Linked DNA regions of Elephas maximus indicus. The protein of the gene in region 2 purifies or fractionates together with the protein of the main gene of each other region. This does not show direct contact. Links are inferred from orthologs where the notes say so. Each region holds a gene or a part of one and is shown on either strand. Other genes may lie near its edges. The genes, in order: PPP1R11 and UBXN2A.

What was found.
Region 1: the proteins of UBXN2A (region 2) and PPP1R11 purify together in Homo sapiens (affinity purification with mass spectrometry; 3 studies listed by BioGRID and IntAct, counting the BioPlex papers as one, with this or other methods). This does not show direct contact. The link is inferred for Elephas maximus indicus from reciprocal best matches to the Homo sapiens genes UBXN2A and PPP1R11.

The regions. Positions count from the first base shown.
Region 1 is NC_064819.1:89,723,614-89,734,010, reverse strand, and holds PPP1R11 (E3 ubiquitin-protein ligase PPP1R11), read right to left. Parts: upstream 4,122-10,397; 5' UTR 3,955-4,121; coding exon 3,886-3,954; intron 2,787-3,885; coding exon 2,678-2,786; intron 2,226-2,677; coding exon 2,023-2,225; 3' UTR 976-2,022; downstream 1-975. Other genes in the region: RNF39 (RING finger protein 39), read left to right, coding at 1-356; POLR1H (DNA-directed RNA polymerase I subunit RPA12), read right to left, coding at 6,946-6,970, 9,757-9,866, 10,053-10,153, 10,355-10,397. UniProt on the Homo sapiens protein: Atypical E3 ubiquitin-protein ligase which ubiquitinates TLR2 at 'Lys-754' leading to its degradation by the proteasome.
Region 2 is NC_064830.1:41,455,540-41,466,023, reverse strand, and holds the start of UBXN2A (UBX domain-containing protein 2A), read right to left. Parts: upstream 4,261-10,484; 5' UTR 4,033-4,260; coding exon 3,999-4,032; intron 1-3,998. Other genes in the region: ATAD2B (ATPase family AAA domain-containing protein 2B), read left to right, coding at 4,790-4,999. UniProt on the Homo sapiens protein: Acts to repress the ubiquitination and subsequent endoplasmic reticulum-associated degradation of CHRNA3 by the STUB1-VCP-UBXN2A complex in cortical neurons.

The DNA.
Region 1 (10,397 bases), on a different chromosome or scaffold from region 2:
ATGAGGACGATGGGGAGAGCCGCTACGCCGTGGGCGCGGCCGGGGAGTCAGTGCGACGCAAGGGCCGCGTAGGGCTGTGCCCCGCGGGGGCTGTGTGGGCTGTGGAGGGCCGTGGAGGCCGCCTGTGGGCTCTCACGGCCCCGGAGCCCACCCTGCTGGGGGGCGCTGGGCCCCCGCCTCGCCGCATTCGCGTGGACTTGGACTGGGAGCGGGGCCGAGTCGCCTTCTACGACGGCCGCTCACTGGACCTGCTCTTCGCCTTCCAGGCGCCTGGCCCCCTGGGGGAGCGCGTCTTCCCCCTGCTCTGCACCCGCGATCCCCGCGCCCTGCTCCGCATCGTGCCGGCAGAAGGCTGAGTGTGGTTCTCGACTGGTCTCCAGATTTCCACATCCTCACCAAAGCTGGAATCCATTCCTGCCTCTCCCTCTTGGGACCTTCTCCTCCTCCACGCCTGCCCGTCTTCCCCAACTGACCTTTCCACGTCTTACAGGATTCCCAGGCTGAATTAGAGAGCAGGCTCTGCTCCATCAGTATGGATGAAGGACCCATGTTTACGACACAGATGCCCTGGTAGTCAGACATTCAGCTCTCACTCCAGCCTCTCCTACCTCCACAGAAGGGCCCAAAGCCTTCTCCATTCCCTGCCTTGTGCACTTGGAAGCCTCTCCTACACAAGAGCTGCCTACTAAAAAACAGATGGCCTGACTCTGGCCAAGACCTCAGGGCCCTCTGGGAAGCTTAATAGCCTTTTTTTTTTTTTTTTTTTTTGTGGACCAGTTCTCCATCCATGACTGCTTCCTATGCTCACAGCCTTTCTCCATTAAGAGCTTTCTTAAGATTACCACCTGTACGTACTCACAATGGAACCAATGGTGCTACCTCTCCTCTCTACCTGGGAATGGCCCAGACTCCCCGAAACAACCCTGTACATAGGCTCGCATCTTTCCCCATGTGTATAAATGGGCCCGTATTTAACACGTTTTGTGACCTTGGGTTATTTATTTTGTGCATCTGTGGCAATAAATGAGATCTCTGGTGGTATGGATTTGATTGATCTCTGCAACCGTGCATGTCAAGAGGCATGAGAAGTGATACTCAGATCCCAGTAAGGGGTGGAGAGGACCAAGAGAATTGGACATCTGGGCTGGCAGAGGCATTAAAGCCTAACAAGGAAGGGGTAAGAGTGTGAGGCACACACCCCCATCTCTCAGCTCCCGCCTTTCCCTCCCTCCTCTAGGGACCTAGGCCCCTGGGACTATGTTGGATCTGTCTCAGAAGCTGGAAGACCGATGCTGAGGAGACGATTCTAACTGGCCAGTTTCAGAGCCAGTTCTTTCATGAATCCTAGATCTCTGAGAAAGAACACGACTATTTCTTGCTCCATTTTCCATTACAGATGAGAATGACAAAGACCTCTCTCTCCTAACTCCTCTAGACAGAATGAGGGAGTGGTCAGAAGGGGAGGAGAGGTAGGGCTGGGAGCCCTGAGGTCTTCCATGAAACCTCACATCCCACAGGTGAGGACTAAGAGTTAGGACTGTGTAAATACATTAGTGGAAGAGCTCTAAGCCAGGATTAATGGGCATAGCTGGGGCAAGATTGCCTGGAATCTGACTGGGACCCTGGCAGTGAAAGCTGGGGCTGTTGAAAGCCCAGTTTAAGTGTTTGGGACTCAAGTAGAGTTCAGGGGACTGAGATAACTGGATCCCAGGACAGGCTGTTTGGCAGTGAGAACAAAGGGAGGGGACTAGAACCAAGATGCCTAGATCCCTGGGGAGGGGAGGATGGGTCTTGGGAAGAGAAATCAGGGCTGGGGGAACCCAGAAGCCCGGGTTCTGGTATAGCAGCAAGTCAGAATTCCAGGATCTCTGTCCACCCTCCTCTTCTTCTTCCCTCTATCAGGCAGAGAAGAGGGAAGGAGGGGGACTAGAGAAGGGATCAAACCATGAGTTTAGTCCCCAAGTAGCCACATGGATACATTCAGGGCCAAGCAGACAATGGAATGGTGGGGGAGAGAGGAATTTAGTGCTGCATTGGCCCTGGAGGGGGCTGAGAGGGGTCAGGAGGCTGGGGAGGGGTGGTGGGGGTTGGTTCCTGGGATGTATGACGCCGTCCTTTGCGGTGGCCCCGGACACAGTGTGTATGACCACAGCCCTCCTCTTCCTCCTCATCACTCTCCGTGGAGCTCTCGCCAAAGGCCCGAGGTTTCTCATAAATACAGCAGCCTAGATTTGGAAGTGGGGGGAGGAACCCAGTTAAAAAGAAGAAAGTGTAAGATGTAGAGTCAGCTCCATTCTCACTGGATCTCAGTGAAAATTCCTACATCTACCACTGCCTCCTCCTACCTTCCAGGATCCAGCTTCCCCAGGCTTACCCTCTGGGACTCACAGACCCAACCCTTATGTCCTGGGCTCTCCTTTTATAGAGCCAGGAATCCAAAACCCCATTTCTCTAACCTCTGCTACATCTTGCCTTCAGACCTAGGCACACCCCAGTTCTAGCCCTCTCCCCACCTCTTTCCCTCTATTATTAACCTCCTCTCTCTAATGCCAGAGAACCAGCAAGACAGTGACAGGATCATAAGCATCTGGGGTCCTTGGGGTGGCCAGTGGATATAAGAGAGATCTGCAGAGGGGAGCCAGGACCTAAGGGCTACTGTGGGCCAATGATTACTCACATTTTGATGAGCGGCGCCCCATGTGCTCGTTGTCCACAGTGTCACTCGTCCATTCCACCTTTTTCTCTGGCTTCCGTTTCCGAAGTTTGATCGTTAGGCTCCGGTTCTCCTGGAGGGTTAAGACAGATGGGCATACCTATCTACTCCCCTCCAACAGACCATTCCCACTCCCTCCCAGGGGCCTTTTCTCGTCCCTTTCCCAGCTTAATCAGTACCACAAACGCAGTACAAGAGGAGCTGAGGGCTGGGAAAAGATAAAATAGAACAGGTCTTTGGCCTCAGGGAGTCCCCTGAGGAAGATTGAAGAATTATTTCCTGTTCTTGATATCCAATAGTGCACGGAGAAGACACAATTCCTAACCTAGGGAAGGTCTCAGCATATGTTCAAAGGAAAATATAATCCTCGCTCTATCTCCGTCTTCCTCCCAAATCATACTTGGTGGTATTAATACATGAAAATTATTTTCTCAGTCCCCAATGCCTAATCTTTGATCTTTTCTTTATTCAGACCCCCAATTCCTTTTTTTCCGTTACAGAAAGACCTCCATTCTCACCCCTCCCATCCTCCAGTTCAGACCTTCCTACTTCCCATCCATCTATTCCCTAGCATCCTGGCATATCCAGTAACGACTATTCTAAACTTCCTTAATCCAGGCATTAAACCAATGCAACCCTCTTCCTTTGAAAGCAACTTAATCTCTATTTTTGCAAAAATGCAACTTATTTCTCCATCTCACATCTCCCCTCTCTGATTTCTCAAAACACTTGTCGCCATCTCCCTTCTTCCCTCATTCCTTCCACTCCTCTTTACATTCAATTAAAAAAATATTTATTAAGTATGCTTCCGGTTGAATTCCTCTACTAACTGGCCTCCAGCCATGCTTCCTTACACGGCCCTTCATTCCCCACCCCCCAGCGCCCTCCTTGGTCCTCACCCCCAATTTCTCATTCTTTCATTACTTAGTTATACCACCATCACCCCAAGCAGCATCACCTATATCCTAACTCTAAGCCACTGCATGTCCTTTGACTAGCCGCTTGCTCCATCCAATTATCCCCAGTATCTTGTGATTCTCGAAACCCCAGATATTCAACCCCACTCCTCGCATATCCCCAAGCGCAGTTCCTGGAGCAACTCTCTAATAACCTGTCCCTCCCTCCCAATATCTCCCAGACCCCTAAACAGCACCGCCCCCCGCCTTTCTCACGGGCTCAGTTGTCACGGTAACCGTTGTCTCAGTGACGGTCTCACTCATCCCGGACCCTGCCTCGGCCATGGCTAAGGCTGAGGAGAGGGTGGAGGGGAGGAAGGGGTACAAGACACCCTTCCCTTTTTCAGTATTTCTGAGATCTGAGAGAATCGGTATCGGATTCAGTGTAGTAGCCAGGACCCTCCGCCTTCTTTTTTCCCCCTCCTCCTGGGCGTCCGCTTCCCCACCCCTGGGATAACCTGTCCAACCCCACTTCCGGCTCTCCGCTTCCGGGTGTGAGGACTGCTGTAGTTCCCCTTCTCCCTGCCCCCTCCCCTCAGCTAAAGCGTCAGAGCGCAGGCGTCCCCAGGTTAGTTCCGCCCTCCTGCGCAGGCGCCGCAAGAAGAACTAGCTATTTGGCGGAAGGAGCGTCACTGCAGGGGAGCGTCACTGCAGTGGGTTGAAACCGACCGGGTAGCTCGTGAAAGCGCACTAGAGATAAAGGAGGAGGGGCGGTCTAGTAGAGGTGGGATGGGCCCGGCGCTGCAGACATCTTGCCCCGCGGGCTACGGCTAGCCCTGGCGCGAGCTTAAGGTTTGTGATGTTCTGTAACTGAGCCCCAGACCCTTAACCCTTGCGGTGAGGGTTGGGTGGAGAAAACTAAGGGGCAATAGTAAAGACCCTAGAATGGCCTATTCCCGTTTCCTGGTCGTTACTCCTGGGAATTAAGGAGAGGAAGCCTTGGTGCAGTTGAAAATACACTTGAGGAATCAAACGATCTCGGTTCTAGCCCTCGCCCTGTACCTGTAAATGTGCAGGCAAGGCACTTCATGCATCTTCAACTTGGGTTATTCCAATTACTGTGCTAGGCCCTGGGAAACCCCGGTGGCCTAGTGGTTAAGAGTTCGGCTGCTAACCAAAAGGTCAGCAGTTCAAATCCATCAAGTGCTCCTTGGAAACTCTATGGGTGGTTCTCTTGTGTCCTACAGGGTCACCATGAGTCGGAGTTGACTCGATGGCAATGGGTTCAGGTACTAGGCCCTGAAGATGGAAGCGCATGAACTACTCACTCCCATACTAGTGGTAAAAACAGGCACGCAGATAATTACTATAAATCATTAGGATATTAAAACTGAAGTAAATTTGTGAAACAATTGCCAGCGTACTCTCGCTTGAGTTGGTTACTGGGGTGGAGATGAATAAGACTAAGCGAAGAAACGGCCAGAAATTACAACATAGGGCAATTTGTGCTGCAATAGAAATATATACAAGTTCTTGGGGAGCAAAAAAAAAAATTGGTAAAAAAGGGAACCGGGAGGTGGGCAAAGGCTTTTTAGATTGAACAGCTGACAAAGTCAGAGGTGTGTGCACAAACGGTTTTGTATTGCTGGGATGTAAGAAGAGTGCCAGATGACACTTGATGGGTATGCACTGGTTATATGGGAGGCCCTGTATGCTTTGCTATGAAATTTGGACTTTATCCAGTTAGTGTATGAGCCAGGTAATGGCTTAAAGTAGGGTGGAAACATGCACAGATTTGTTTCAGATTTTGGGAGCGGGGCAGGAAAGTCAACTACAAGAACATTCCAAGTGTATGGCTAGGAAGACTGCCCTACCCATCTCTCCAGGTTGCTGTAGGGATAAAACAGGGTGGTGTGTTTGAAAGGTGTGAGTATATGAAGAGACACACAGTTGTGTGCTACATTTATCTCCAGGGCAGTTGAATGAATGATTTCTTTTGTAAGGATCAGCACAAAGCTGATTCCTGAGGCAGAGGCTGAAGATGTTCCAAACGTCCAACTTTTCCAAACTGCTGTACCACTCCATCATCTCTAACGTCAACTACTCCCCCTCCCCTCAGTACTCTCCCTCCAGTCTTTGGGTTCCATAATTCGCTGCAATGTCTCACAGAACTCACAAATTGTACTTACAGTTAAGTGATTTATTAGGGAAGTAATAGGGTACAGCTCAGGACCAGTAACTACTCAGAAGTAACAGGAACAACTCAGGATACAGTTCTTAATCAAGACAGCTTCTTCTCACCCTCTGCTGCTGTGCCCTGCTTGGGGCCTTCTCCGGCAAGTTACAACTCTTTAACTCGGTGTCATCTCATGCTGGTCTCGTGGTTCCTGCCAGCTTGCACCACTATCACTCTTGCTATTGCTGTGCCGCGGTCTCTCGCTGTCTTCCCTGTTACAACTCCTCCCTCTATTTCCCCGGTGTCTCGCTTTAAGCCTAGTGGGATGTCAAAACCGACCAATCCCCTTGTTAGGGTTCCATAAACCTTATGTGCATGGTCCCAACCCCACAAGTGTTCCATGTACCTTATTTGCATTAGCAGCAAGCTGTCCAATCCCCTTGGTGGGCCAAAAGCACCTTATTTGCATAGTCCCACCCAGTCATTGTGCAGAAGTCACAAAGACTATGGCTAGAAGGGCCACGTTAAGTAATTCACTGCATCACAGCAGCTAAAGAAAAAATATTTCCATTTAAGTAATTTCTTGTTCACTGTCATAAGTATACACTGGTACTCCCTGGTATCAAATTTGTTGCCCAAACTTATAAACCAAATAGATGCAGATTTTTGGTTGAACCTCTCACTGTCCAAACTTCCACTTTTGTTTTCCTAAACTCAGTAACCAAATAGATTTAAATAGTGAGGGAATACTTTTAATTGCTTTTTTATATTACCATCATCTCTGGTTCCATTTTTTGTCCTTGGGTTTTTTGTTTTCTTTGTCTTATATTACTAATTTATATTATCTTTCTGAGTTGATACATTTGCTGAAAGAATATATCTCTGTAAGCTCATTTACATTTCTTTTGAAATAAGGCAAATTAAAAACAGCATATATATGTTAGAGTCTTCTAGAGAAATATAACTTTAATAAGGAAACTTAACTAGGGGTTGGAGTGCTCTGGAAACAACGGTAGTCCCCACATGATCTAATCTTCCTTCTGAGAACAAGATATTGCAACCAACGATCATGGACAGGGTATCTAAGGACCCAATACCCTTCACCTTCCAAGGAAGAGGAGAGGGAAGGAGAAATTGTTGAGTAGCCCAGAAAAAAAACATCAAGAGTCTTCCTTCTCCTGGAACCTATGGAAAAATAAAGGACTCAGTACATTAGGCCAAAGGAAGAGTTTGTAGCAGTGTAAGATGAGACATTCAGTTAAAGAATTAAGGAAGAACTTTTATTTATGCCACTGTGGAAAACTAGATTTCTTAGACAACGTCAGGACAACTAAAAACACTGTGACTAAAAAATATATATGATGAACTATATGACCTTGAGGTGCACAAAGATTTCTTAGAACACAAAAAATATTAACCATAAAAGGGGGAAAAATGGATAAACATCAAAATAAAAAACTTCTACTCATAAAAAGTTAAGAAAATAAATAGGCAAGCCAGAGACTGGAGAAAATTCTCTTTCTAAAATCCATTGATGAGTTGGCTAGAAAGTACAGGTAATCTTTTCACTGGTCAAAAATGATGTAAAACCAGGAATCCAAAAAAGTAAGTTAAAAGTCCCCTGCTACCTTTTGTGCCCCTGAACTACTGTTTTGACAGCCACACGGAGCATAAGAAACCAAAGACAAAACCTGCAACATCTGCTAGGAGATCCCTATAAATCTGCACACCACCCCCACCAAAGGGCTACCGGTCTATGTAAAAGTAAACGAATCCATCTCTGCAGAAGGGGAATGTGACTCAATAGGTAGAGGGAGAGAAAGACCTTGCCTGAGAAGTTCTAACCATAAGCTTGGCCCTTACATGGTTTTACAGCCCAAATTCATACTACCTGTGCGGTTTGAAAAACCTGAAGCTGAGAATTTATTTAAAGTGATTCCAGCTTTGTAGTGCCCCAAAACCAAAAAAACCAAACCCAGTGCTGTCGAGTCGATTCTGACTCATAGTGACCCTATAGGACAGAGTAGAACTGCCCCATAGAGTTTCCAAGGAGCGCCTGGCAGATTCGAACTGCTGACCCTTTGGTTAGCAGCTGTAGCACTTAACCACTACACCACCAGCGTTTCCATAGTGCCTCAAGACACCTGAAAAAGCAAACACAAATGCTGACAATACAGCATTCACCCCAAGCCTCAAAAAATTCCCATAAAGTTCTAAAAAACCTGAGTTTATAGTAAAAACACAAAAACAAGAAAAGCAGCACCATGAGCCAGTCATCAGAAACAACAGCAGCATCAGATCACAAAGGCTGTAAAACCAAAAAACCCACTGCCGTCGAGTTGATTCCGACTCATAGCGACCCTACAGGACAGAGTAGAACTGCCTGATAGAGTTTCCAAGCAGCACCTCGTGGATTCAAACTGCCGACCTCTTGGTTAGCAGCCTTAGCACTTAACCACTATGCCACCAGGGTTTCCATAGATACCAGAATTACCAGAAACAGAATATAAATAACTCAATTTAAATGTAATATGCATTTAAATTGAACTAGTTATTTTTAAAAAAACACTAAAAAATGACTTAAAAATGACTAAGATTTGAAAACTAATCAAGTAGAACTCATAAAAATGAAAAAATAATAACCGAAATAAACTGAAGAAAGAATTAGTAACTTAGAAGAGAGGCCTGTAGAAAATACCCAGAAGGCAGCATAGAGAGGAAAAAAGATGGAAAATATGAAAGACAGTATTATAGACTGAATTGTGTCCTCCCAAAATATGTGTTGTAAATCCTAACCCCTATACCTTCAGTTATAATCCCATCTGGGAATGTTTTTTCTTTGTTTTATGTTAATGACGCAGTATTAGTATAGCGATGTGTCTTAACTCAATCTCTTTTGATATATAAAAGAGCAGATTAAGCAAGCAAGCAGATGGAGGAAGACAGATACCATGCCACATGAGGATCACAAGAATCAAGGAACAGAAGCTGAAGAGACAAGGACTTTCCTCCAGAGCTGACAGAGACAGAAAGCCTTCCCCTAGAGCTGGTGCCCTGAATTCAGATGTCTAGCTTCCTGAATTCAGACTTCCAGCCTCCTAAACTGAGAAAATTTGTTTGTTAAAGCCACCCACTTGTGGTATTTCTGTTTTGGCAGCACTAGATAACTAAGACAGACAGGTTGTAAGAAATAGTGAACAGAGGGTTTACTACAAAACTAATTGTTGTTTGCCAGTGAGTCAATTCCAACTCATGGCAACCCTACATGTGCAAAGTAGAACTGCTTCATGAGGTTTCAGAAGCAGGTCACTAGGCCTGTCTTCCAAGGCACCTCTGGGTGGGTTCGAACAGCCAACCTTTCAACTAGAAGGTGAGTGCTTAACCCTCTGCACCACCCAGGGACTCCTTACACAATTAATTAGAGATCCAGAATGTGAGAATTAAACATAGGGGAAAGACAACATTCAATGGGATAATGGTTAATCATTTATAAGGTTGTTTAAGAAAAAAAATCAATCCCTAGTTTTGGAAAGTCCAACAAATCCCAAATAGGATTAATAAAAGATAGCCACATCTTGACACATTATAATGGAACTACAGAACACCAAAGACAAAGGCCAGTTCTCAAAACCATTCAGAGTCCACACTCTTTACTAATTCTCACCAAAGTAAAAGTACCTTGATTGCAGTGGTAGGCTCCAGCATAACATGGTGGCCACTAAGCAATACCTGCCTTCTGTATTTTTTCATCTTCTTATAAATATTTTTTAAAAGTTTAGTTAACTGCTATAAAAAGGGTAAGAAAGAGTAATTTACTTAAAAAAAAAAAGGCCACATATCTCCCTATTACCTAAACTGTACAGAAATGTTGGATGAGATCAAAGAAAAGAAATGTTTAGTAAAAATTTAAGCCACTGTATTTTAGTTAGTAAACAGACTGAGAAAGCAGAGGAAGAGGAAATAATACTTACTTGCAGTTGGTACAGGTGTAGAAGACAGTTTGCCCTTCATCAGCTGAGCGCATCTGTCTGGTATGGTATGCCATTCCCTCATGACCACATCGGGAGCAGCGTCTATCAATCTGGGAAGAGAACTAGTGAGGCAGGGGAGGCCTAATCAAAGCCCCCTACTTCTCATAGGAATCAGGCTATCACAGACATATCTGCTCTAAAGACCCCTCTTCCCTCTTGGAACTGGGTCCAAAACCCTCCAGATCTTTGCAATCACACTCTCCCCCTATGGACAGTTCTTGACTTCATTAACTTACCACAGGTCCCTGGAACTCAGGCCCTTCCTCTACCGACATAGGCATGGCTGTCCCCAGTTTGTGGAACACAAATGAAGTTTTGACAACCTTTCCTTCAAAATCTGCACAAGAAGTAAGAACTGTTTGTAAAGTCGAAGAGAGGCCCCATATAATCCCCAATTGTGTCCCCTTCTGTACCAAAGGTACAAGTGCCTGATTTCCTGCTCCAGAGTCCCTTCCCCAATCCCGCCCATCTCGGGTCCCCAGGTCTCCGACTCTTCCACCTTGGGCCCTCCCGGGACCATTGAGTACGAGTTTCTCACCCCGCACGTTGACGGAGAAGCCACAGCGAGTGCAGGTGACCGT
Region 2 (10,484 bases):
ACCCTGGGTTCCCCATGTCCTTTCTTCCAGTTTTCCGGTCCTGTTATGAGTTGGAATCGACTCGATGGCAATGGCTTTTTTTTTGTTTTTGATTTTTCTGCCTTCTTGTCTTTGCTTTTGGGCAGGTGTTGCCCATTTGGTCTTGTATACTTGATTGAACTAAGAAGCACGTTCCTCATGTGTGTTATTGTTTGTTTCATAGACTTGTCTACTCTTTGGCTGAAAAGTGGGCTTCGGGAGTGGCTTCAGTTCTGAGTTGGCAGTGTGTCTGGGGGCCATATTCTCAGGGGTTCCTCTAGTCTCTGTCAGGCCAATAAGTCTGGTCTTTTTTTGTGTGTGTGTGAATTTGAATTTTGTTCTACATTTTTCTCTCGCTCAGTCTGGGACTCTCTATTGTGATCTCTGTCAGAGTGGTCCGTAGTGGTACTCAGGCACCATCTAGTTCTGGGCTCAGGCTGGTGGAGGCTATGGTTCATGTGGTCCTTTAGTCCTTTGGGCTAATATTTTCCTTGTGTTTTTGGTTTTCTTCATTCTCCTTTGCTCAGGATGGAAAGGGACCAGTAGATGTATCTTAGAGCTTTTAAGACCTGATACTACTTACCAAAGTAGGATGTAGAACATATTCTTTATGAACTATGTTTCTCTCTTTTTCTATTGGTTGGTCTAATGAGAGTTTCACATCAAAGATCATTAAGGTGTCATAGGACTGGGCACCATTTTGTTCTGCTATACATAAGGTAACCATGAGTCAGAGCCAACTTGATAGCAACCAGCAACAAGAAGTGATTTTTACTATTTTTCACCCAAAGAATCAGCTTTTGATTTCACTGATTTTCTCTATTTTCTATTTCATCGATCTCTTCTTACATGTATTATTTCCTACCTCTACTTACATTGAGTTGCTTTTTCCTCTTTCCTGAGATTCTGAAGGTGGAAGCTTAGTTCACTGATTTGAGATTTTTTTTTTGCTTTTATAATACATACATTTTAAACTATTAATTTCTCTGTAGGCGGTGGTTTTGTGTCTTAGTCATCTAGTGCTGCCATAACAGAAATACCACAAGTGGATGGCTTTAACAAAGAAATTTATTTTCTCATAATCTAGTAGGTTACAGGTCCAAATTCAGGGCATCAGGTCCAGGGGTAGGCTTTCTCTCTCTGTCTGCTCTGGAGGAAGATTCCTTGTCATCAATCTTCCCCTGGTTGAGGAGCTACTCAGGCGCAGGGACCCCAGGTCCAAAGGACCTGCTCTGCTCCTGGTGCTGCTTTCTTGGTGGTATAAGGTCCCCAGCTCTCTGCTTGCTTCTCTTTCCTTTTACCTCTTGAGAGACAAAAGGTGGTGCAGGCCACACCCCAGGGAAACTCCCTTTACCTTGGATCAGGGAGGTGACCTGAGTAAGGGTGGTGTTACAATCCTACCATAATCCTCTCAACACAAAATTACAATCACAAAATGGAGGACAGCCACACAATACTGGGAATTATGGCCTAACCAAGTTGACACATACTTTTTGGGGGCCCCATTCAATTCATGACATTTAGCTACATCCCACAATTTCTGAAACACTTAATTTCATTTTCCTTTAGTTCAAAATATATTCTAATTCCCTTTTTGATTTATTTTTTTACCCATGTGTTATTTAGAATTATTGTTTAATTTCTAAATATTCAGGAATTTTCAGGTAACTTTTTATTATTGATTTCTAATTGTTTTTTTATGGTCAATTTTTCAGTTTAAATTTGCTTGTCATTTTTATAAGCTTTTGTTTATTAATATTTTCTAATCTTTCACTTCTTTAAATAGCTAAACACTTGTTTTATATATCTGAATATAAATTTTTGTGGGTCTTATTCAGATGTCAGGAGGCTTCGTGGCATAGTGGTTAAGCATTCGACTGCTAACCGAAAGGTTGGTGGTTTGAACCCAGCAGCCACTCCTCTGGAGAAAGATGTGGAGGTCTGCTTCAGTAAAGATTTAAAGCCTTGGAAACCCTATGGGCAGTTCTCTGTCCTGTAGGGTCCCTATAAGTCAGAATTGACTAGATGGCAATGGGTTTTATTCTGACGGCTATTCTTTTTCGCTCGCTGTTTTACGTAACTTTTTCTTGTGTGTTTTGTGAATTTCTTTTACTGTGAGTCGTATTCATAAGACTTTGTTTTTTTTGCATCTCCTGTTAAAGGTTCATTCTTTCAGAGGTGATTTTTATTTGCTTTTGCTTTGTGCTTAGGACCACTTTTGACTCAAGTGTATTTAGTCTAAATGATTATCCTGAGGGTCTTCACACCTATCAGATTTGGTGAATTCAGGCTGTAAATAGGAAGGAGGACCAGTTTGTTGTTTTGAATTCTCAAGGGATATATTTTTTATCCCTTATTCTTAGCGTCAATTCTGGGAAAGGCACTTTTCTTTGCTGTCGTCTGGGAATGATGGAAAGGTTGTTTACTCCTAATTTGGTCTTGTACTTAGGATGAATCCTTTTGCTACCAGGATTTTGCAGGGCGACTGTTAGACTGATACTTTGAGCAGGTTCTGGACTTGGTCTCCTGTCCTTTGCATCTCCTGAAGCAGAGAAAATAGAAGGTCTAATTTACTGGGGTTGAGCAAATGCATTGAGACTGAAAGCTGCCTTTAGGGCTTTGCTTACTTGTCTGAATTCTTGCTGTTACTCAGTGTCTTGCTGGTTCGTGGATGTAGTTTTAAATAATGTCAAAAGAAAAATTCTATTAAGACTTTTTAGTTATTTTCACTAGTTCCTACTCTGGGAAATAGGCAACTCTTCCAAGTCTTTTTCAGGCTTTCCTTTGTCCATGTTGCCTTTGTATGTTGTTGTTTGTGGCTTAAAGAGCATCTCAAGGGTCATTACCACGCAGAGGGTTTCCCTAACACCCCTGCTTGTATTAGGGGTCTGTACCTCATTCTTTCTTGTAACATTGTGTTGCAGCTCAGTAGTTCCTTGACTGTCCCTCATCCTCTCTTTGTTTGTGAGCTCCCTGAGGGCCAGAACTATGTTGTTACTGTTTTTAAATCTCCACATATCTGAGCCTGGCAGTGTACCTACTAATACTAGTTGGGTTTGGGGTAAACATTTATTGATAGTAAATGGTATAATCCATATTATAATCTTTCCTCCCGAATTTAAGACTACAAAAACAAAACAATGGAGGAAAGCACACAAATCCTTTGTCGGCTAATTTGCATACCACACACCTCACTGGGACAATTTACACACTGCTTAAAACCAGTCTCTTTCGGCAGGAAATGAAAAGGTTTTGGTCAATAATCTCACAGCTAACTGCCTCAGGAAAACCCAGGCCTTCTTCCAATCTGAGGTCTCCACACACATTAAAAGGCTGGTTTTAAGTGGCGGGTGAAGGGTCCTAGGGCGGTGCGTGGTATGCAAATTAGTGTCAAAAGGATTTGCTGCCTCCTGGAATCAGTACTGCTTTCCCAAAGAGAAAAACTGTATTTCCATACCCAGTGCTATATGCAGTTCTATTAAATGATTAGGAGCTTGGATGGCATGAATGGTCTCATTGTGATACCGCCTGGTGATTTTCGCAGAGCTTTTCTGGAGGCTTGTTTTTGTTGCTGTAGAAAACAGGAAAAACTTCTGCCCCAATAGTGGGCTCTCTACCTCTTCTTAACAGTGAATTTTTGAAATGAACATAACCCCTACTTTACAGCTGAACTTTTAATATTAATTGTATGCCTTAAATTTTTTTCTTTAAAGTTAAACCACGCATTTGATATCTTTGGGTTCGGCAGGCAGAGAGTGGGCAGTGATAAGCAAGACTCTGAGTAAGAAGAATTCGTTCCTTTGTGGCTCTGCCTTGGCTACGGTTATAGGAAACGATCCTGCCTTGCTTTGTTTAAAGGCAGAGGGTTCTAGCGTGGCCTTTTTTTTTTTTAAGCTATTCTGTGCCAGACACTGCAGATCTATTTTATCACAGTTATCCTCATTTTTACAGCCATGAAAAGTGTGACTCAAGTTCAGTACCTTGCCTTAGGGGAGCTCTGGGAATCCAATTCATTTGACTGCGCCCTCGTCGTCACCGTTCCCCCGGACACCCCTTCCTCCTCCGCCTTTGCTGCTCATTCCTTGCGCCTTCCAGGTCACCTAGGGTGATGGTGGGGGTGTCTGAGGTACTCGGGCCTGGGGAGGTATGAAGGGCCTCAGAACCAATTACTCCCAAGCTCGCGCTGTCGGGTCTTCCCCAACACCCCTCAGCACAGCCTATTTCGCGGGGGAGACGCGGAAACCATAGAGATGACACAGCCCAGAGCGTCTCCTCTCTCGCAGCCGAGAGTTGACGCCGCGCCGCCGGGCGGGGCCTACTGGGAGGCGAAGCGGGGGAGAGGAGGGAGAAACCGGGAAGGGAAGGGCTGGCCGGCCTTGCAGCGCCCCGCAGCGGCCACGGTCGGAAGCGATCGCGTCGGCCCTGCGGCGCTTGAGTCCTGACGCACGGAGCGAGGGAGCTAGAGCGAGAGAGAAAGGGGCAGACATGGCGGCTCCGTTCAGCTCCCGCTGAGGAGGGCGAAGCCGGCGAAGGGGCTGTGTGTCGGCCCGGAGCATCACTCACGCCTGTCGCTACCTGCCTTCGCACGCCGACTTCCTTTCCTCTGTCCTACTCTCGCCTGCCCTCGCCCGCGCTTCGCAGAGTCCGAGCCGGCTCATCTCCCTGCCGGACTCAGCTCCGCTGGCCCTGACTGCCCGGCCGGCGGACCGGCCTTCCTCGCCTCCCCGGGGCGCGGCAGCCGCGGCGTGGGTCCCGTCTCCCTGGCCGGACCATGGTGAACACCCGGAAGAGCTCTCTGCGCCTTCTCGGGTCCAAGTCGCCTGGGCCTGGGCCTGGGCCTGGGGCCGGAGCGGAGCCTGGGGCAACCGGAGGCAGCAGCCATTTCATCTCCTCTCGGACCCGCTCCTCCAAGACCCGCGCTGCCAGCTGCCCTGCCACCAAGGCCGGGGGAAGCGGCGGCGTCGCTCTGGACGAAGCCCGGGTAAGAGCGCGGCAGCCCGTGTCCGGAGGCTTGAAAGTCTCGGCCCAGCCGCCGGTGCTTTGTCTGGCCGGGTTGGGGGCAGGACAGCTCCGGCGGAGACCGCTCGGGCGGCCGGAGACCCGGTCTGCGGGCGCGGTGGAGGTGGCACCGGCTCAGGAAGGGCCGCCACCGTTTCGTTGCCCCGGCTCTTTTGTGTAAAGAGCAGAACTTGAGTCCGGGGGAGAGGGCTTTTGGGGCACCTTTGCAGGGGCACTAGAACCGTCTTTTTTCCGTGTCCTTGTCCTGCCTCAGAGGGGAATTCTCGGGGAGCAGGAGCCGAGGATCGGCTCCCTGGGTGGAAGGGCTGGAGAGGAGAAGTGAAAGTTTTCCGCGGTGTCAAACCCTTCTTGAAAGTGTGTCAGCTCTTGTCGGTGTCTAACTTCAGCTTACTCTAAAACTGTTTGGGGGTGGTTCAAGTTGGTGAGGAAGTGAACAGAGAGCTCCAGTTGGCAGCCAGGCAGGGATGCTGAAAAAAGTTTATAGTTGCCGTGATACCAACTTTAAAAACAAAATCAACGCTATCGCCTCTCCAGGCAGGAGAGATCAAACAGGATATTGTAGCTTCAGCGCTGGCGATCCAGCCAGCTAACAAGCTTTCAGGTCACAAAGGGGGCATGAAAGAAGCGTGTCGAATGTTTTGGACGGTAGGTATTATCATCCCAAAATTGTATGGCTGCTTGAATGTCTACATTTTGTTGCGGGAATAGTTTATAAAAGGTGAATTAACACCTCCGTTGTCACACAATTGCAAAAGTGGTATTTGAAGTGCGTGCTTGTTTTTTTTAAAGTGGTGGAAAGATCTTGAAATTTCATTACCCACAGTGTAAAACGTAAAGCTAGATGATCACTTTAAAGGAATTGACCAGTGATAATTGACAATTATGAGATTGGTCTTGAATTCAGAACAGTCTTGCTTCTTTCTAGTAAGAGGCTAACTTACCAAGAGTGATTTGGCTGGGACATGCCATTCATCTAAAGGCTCCTTTAAATCCACACCATTTTGTTATTCTTACCGGGGAAAGCAACTTTTTATGTTCTTTAGGGTCTACAAGTTTACTGTTTGAATATACTTTTTCTCTTTGTGTCATACACAATGTTCTGACGTGAATCACAGAAGGAGTCGAGGCAAAGACAATGGAAACATTTTACCGTATTACTCTGAAATATATTTATTGTATCTTTGAAAATATTTTTGGCATTTATTTTGCTAAAAATCTGGAAAATATTTTTTAAAACTCAGTCTTATTTAATAGAATATTTTGGGGCTTAACAATCTCTTAGGTTGAAATAAGAAAGGTAAGTGTTAAAGTTGTCCAAACTATTCAGCGTAAATATTCTGAAGACTAGGTTTTCTGTGGAAAGAGTCGCAAAGATGTGCAAACTTTCTGACTTTCTGAAGCTGTCTTATCAATTTTAAAATAAAAGTAAATTTAAGAAAAGTTCTGCCCTTTACGCTTACATACAAATAAAATATTTAGAGTATAAGCATTTAATTGTATCATGCCGTGACTGTCTATTAGAGCAGTGTCTCTACCTCATCCAAAGCAATTAGCTCATCTGTCACTGATCAGTTTGTGGTCACATTTTTGAACTCATGGATATCATTCTGTCCTAACCCCCTGAGGAATAAGGTGAGGTAATTTGTCAAGCAGCTGTTATGGGGATGTTAAAAGCAAGGATCAATAATGTAGACATGAACATTTGGTAGCTTTTAAATTGCTAGAAGAATGAAAGATATTAGAGCTCTTTCTAGAAGGATGCTAATGAAACTATGTTTTAAGGACTTCTTTAAAATGTTTTAAGACCATGATAACAGGCTAACGAAGATATACTTTGAAATATTTGTTTTTCAGTTTTAAGATTTGCGTTTGGCTCTAGTAGATGGTGCAGTGATCTAATTGCTTTCTCAGAGATTTTAGAGATTTGCTAATCATACATAGTGATTGGTCTTTTAGGATAAATTGTAATTCTACTGGATTTATTAGGTTTTTGGGCTATATATTTATGATGCAGACTGTATATTCCTTTGTTGTATATTTCTGAAGTGGATTGATTTGAGTCTGGTAAGCTCTCCCTGTAAAGTTGGTGTTATGTGACAGGAGTTTAGTACTTGGTTCACATAAAGCACTCTCCACGGCTCTGGGGTCTGTAATAGACATTTGCTAGTGCCTGTGAAGTCTTAGTTGATAGAAAAAGGGGTTGCTCATGCTGTTGCTTTTAGGAAACTGATTTTTGTAGGAAGAAATGTATTCCTTTGTAGGATATGTGATTGAGGAACTTTTCATGTTTCACTTCTGTGCTGTTGTTCACTTAACCCTTTATGCTGATTTTTCCCTCCTTCCCCTCTGAGTCTTTTTAGATTCTTTCTTTCACTGTGTCTAGAGGCATATGATTTACTCTAAAAAGCCATAGTACTAAAGGCTATTCTTATAGCTTTGCCTTTTCCCCAGGTAGTGTATATATATGATAGGGGGATAAATATAGGATACATTTTGCAGGTTACTGAAATTATTTTCTTGTGCCCACACTTTTAGTGTCAAGTTGAATTGCAGTGCTATGCAGTTAGCTGTGATCTCTGCTATATACTATATATATATATATATATTTTTTTTTTCTTTTTGGCGTGCATGAAGCTTGACCTCTGTTAATCTGGCCATTAGTAAATTAGCATTTATTTGCTCTACCTAAGTGCCATCTCAGCAAGCAAACTAATACTGTCCTCACAGAACTAGACAACAGTCTTTGAAAAATATTTCAATTCTTTTCCTACCTCTCTTTGTTAGGTCTGTTTGTGGGTACTCCTGGCTTTGTCACTAGCTTTTGGTCTTTTTGACGTGGTCACTGACTCTTTTAGAGTTCATATCTTAGTTGTGAAGATCAGAATAAATACTTTGAGTAACTTTTTAGGTGAAGTGCTGTATTAATCCTGGGTCTTTTTGTAATATGCTCTTTTATCAATTTGTGATCCTCCTTTTCTATCACTCATGGTATTTGCCAACATAATACAAGCACAGCGGTAGAAATTGAGGGTTAATCATGGAAAAGAAGTCTGAGAGGGAAAAGTAATAACATGTATCACTCTCAGATGTGTAGGGAAAAATACAATTTCCTCAGAGTAGGGCAAGTTTTTTTCTATCAAATTCAGAAGTATTTCTCACTTGGAGCACAATATAGAAGATCTTGAGTAATGTGGGAAACAATGTCTTCTGTCACAATTCTGAACCAAAAGCAGAGGTGGAGTTCATAGGATCATCTCTGGTAGCAACTGAAAATGCAACTTTATACATTCATTTACTGGCCATTTCTGTAGTCCAAATATACAAACTTTCAGTTGTTTCTTAGCTCGTGGATGAAGCTTTTAACACCTGTAGAATTAAATACATAATAATTCCTTTGATCATTTTCCCTGACTAGTATTTTTTTTCCCCCTTCTTATCTCCCTGTGTTGTTCATGCTTGTCTTCTTTTTAAGCTATACCTTTTGTGAGATTTGGGGTGGGAGAGGAAGTAAGTGCATGTGCTCAAGCCACAATAGTCTTCTTTTTTAACCAGTCCTTTGATAGGTCCTTGATTACATGTCTTCTGAGTAATTACAGGTACACCCATAACCTCTGGAAACCTGCTGAACAGGTGATAGGAGTACCACTTGTTCTGAGAACTAAGGTGCCTAGTCAGTGTCTCCACTGAGAGGAGAGTGACCCTGTCTCTAAGACCCAGTCCGTTGTAGAAAAGTGATACATATATTCCTTTGAATTGTGTGTTTGGCATTTCTTTTTGGACAAATACAGTGAAGTTTCATTTCTGCGCATTACTTAGTTGATTACTTGGTATTTGGGTTTTTACTCTTGTAATAGGAATATTGTCTGTTTCTCTTACTCCTGCCAGGGAGACTTTGTGAAAAATGCATTGCTGAGTAAAAAGCATTTGGGATTTTTTGGATAAAAAGTTCTATGGAAGTACAAAGTTAGAGGAAAAAACCACAGGTAAAATGTGTTAACTTTATTTAAATGTAAGCTGGACATTTTAGAGAGGTAAGTATTGTATGTGGCTTACGTTAAATGATAGAAAAGACCTCTACATTAAAGTTAATAGACTTCAACTTTTAGGTACTTTGTATTAGCTTTTAGGTACTTTGAGTATGTGCTGATGTCGGATCATAAACTTCAGATGCTTTTGAATTAGTGTTTTGGTATTAAATTTTTTTTTTTTAATTTTTAGATTCTTATTGTAGTTTTATCTGGAGGTATATGATATTTTTGTATGATTTCTCCCCCAGGCTCTTCTTTTGGAGTAGGTTATAAGCTCCATGAGGGCAGGCACTATGTCTTTTTCCTACTAACTGCTGTATTGCCAGTGTCTGACACATGACACTCAATAAATATCTTTAAATGAATGAATGAATAGCGTATTGAGGCACTGATCCATTTGTGAAATGATTCGTTAAAATTATGGTGCTAGGACTTTGAGACTTGAGGATAAATAAAACACAGTCCTCACCTTTTAAAAAGCTCCGTTGCCATCAACTCATCTTTAGGACTGTATATATACACACGGTGTGCATATGAAAAATTATTAATAAAATACATCAGTTCGAGGTAGGTGCCAAATGAATGACATAGATATTCAGTGTGAAAAGAGTTCTAATACTTCACTCAGTGAATGTTTTGATGGAGCTGCTTTTTTTGATGTTTTTGAAAGACTTTTTTTTCATAGCTATATTCTGAGCGCCTACAACAGTGCCTGCCGGATACAGTGCTCAATTAGTATTTTTTGAATGAGTTGAAAGTATGCCTTCTCATTTTAAATTATTTTCGTATTGTCAGCCTTCACTTTTCTTCTTTTTTTTAATTGTACTTTAGATGAAGGTTTACAGAACAAACTGGCTTCTTATTAAACAGTTAGCAGTACACATACTGTTTTATGACATTGGTTAACAACCCCACAACATGTCAACACTTTCCCTTCTCAACCTTGGGTTCCCTATTACCAGCTTTCCTGTCCCCTCCTGCCATCTAGTCCTTGCCCCAGGGCTGGTGTGGCCCTTTAGTCTCCTTTTGTTTTATGGGCCTGTCCACTGTTTGGCTGATGGGTGAACCTCAGGAGTGGCTTCATTACTGAGCTGAAAGGGTGTCCAGCGGCCATACTCTCAGGGTTTCTCCAGACTCTGTCAAACCAGCAAGTCTGGTCTTCTTTTTGAGTTAGGATTTTGTTCTACATTTTTCTCCAGCTCTGTCCAGGACCCTCTATTGTGATCCCTGTCAGAGCAGTCAGTGGTGGTAGCTGAGCACCGTTTAGTTTTACAGGGCTCAGCCTGGTGGAGACCGTGGCAGCCTTGACTTTTGATAAATTTAGTTGTTGCGCTTTGCCCTTCTGCCCGTTTGATGGTAGCCTAATACGGACAGAAGTAAACTAAGTTTTAGCATTTCATGAGCCAGGTATTGTTTAAT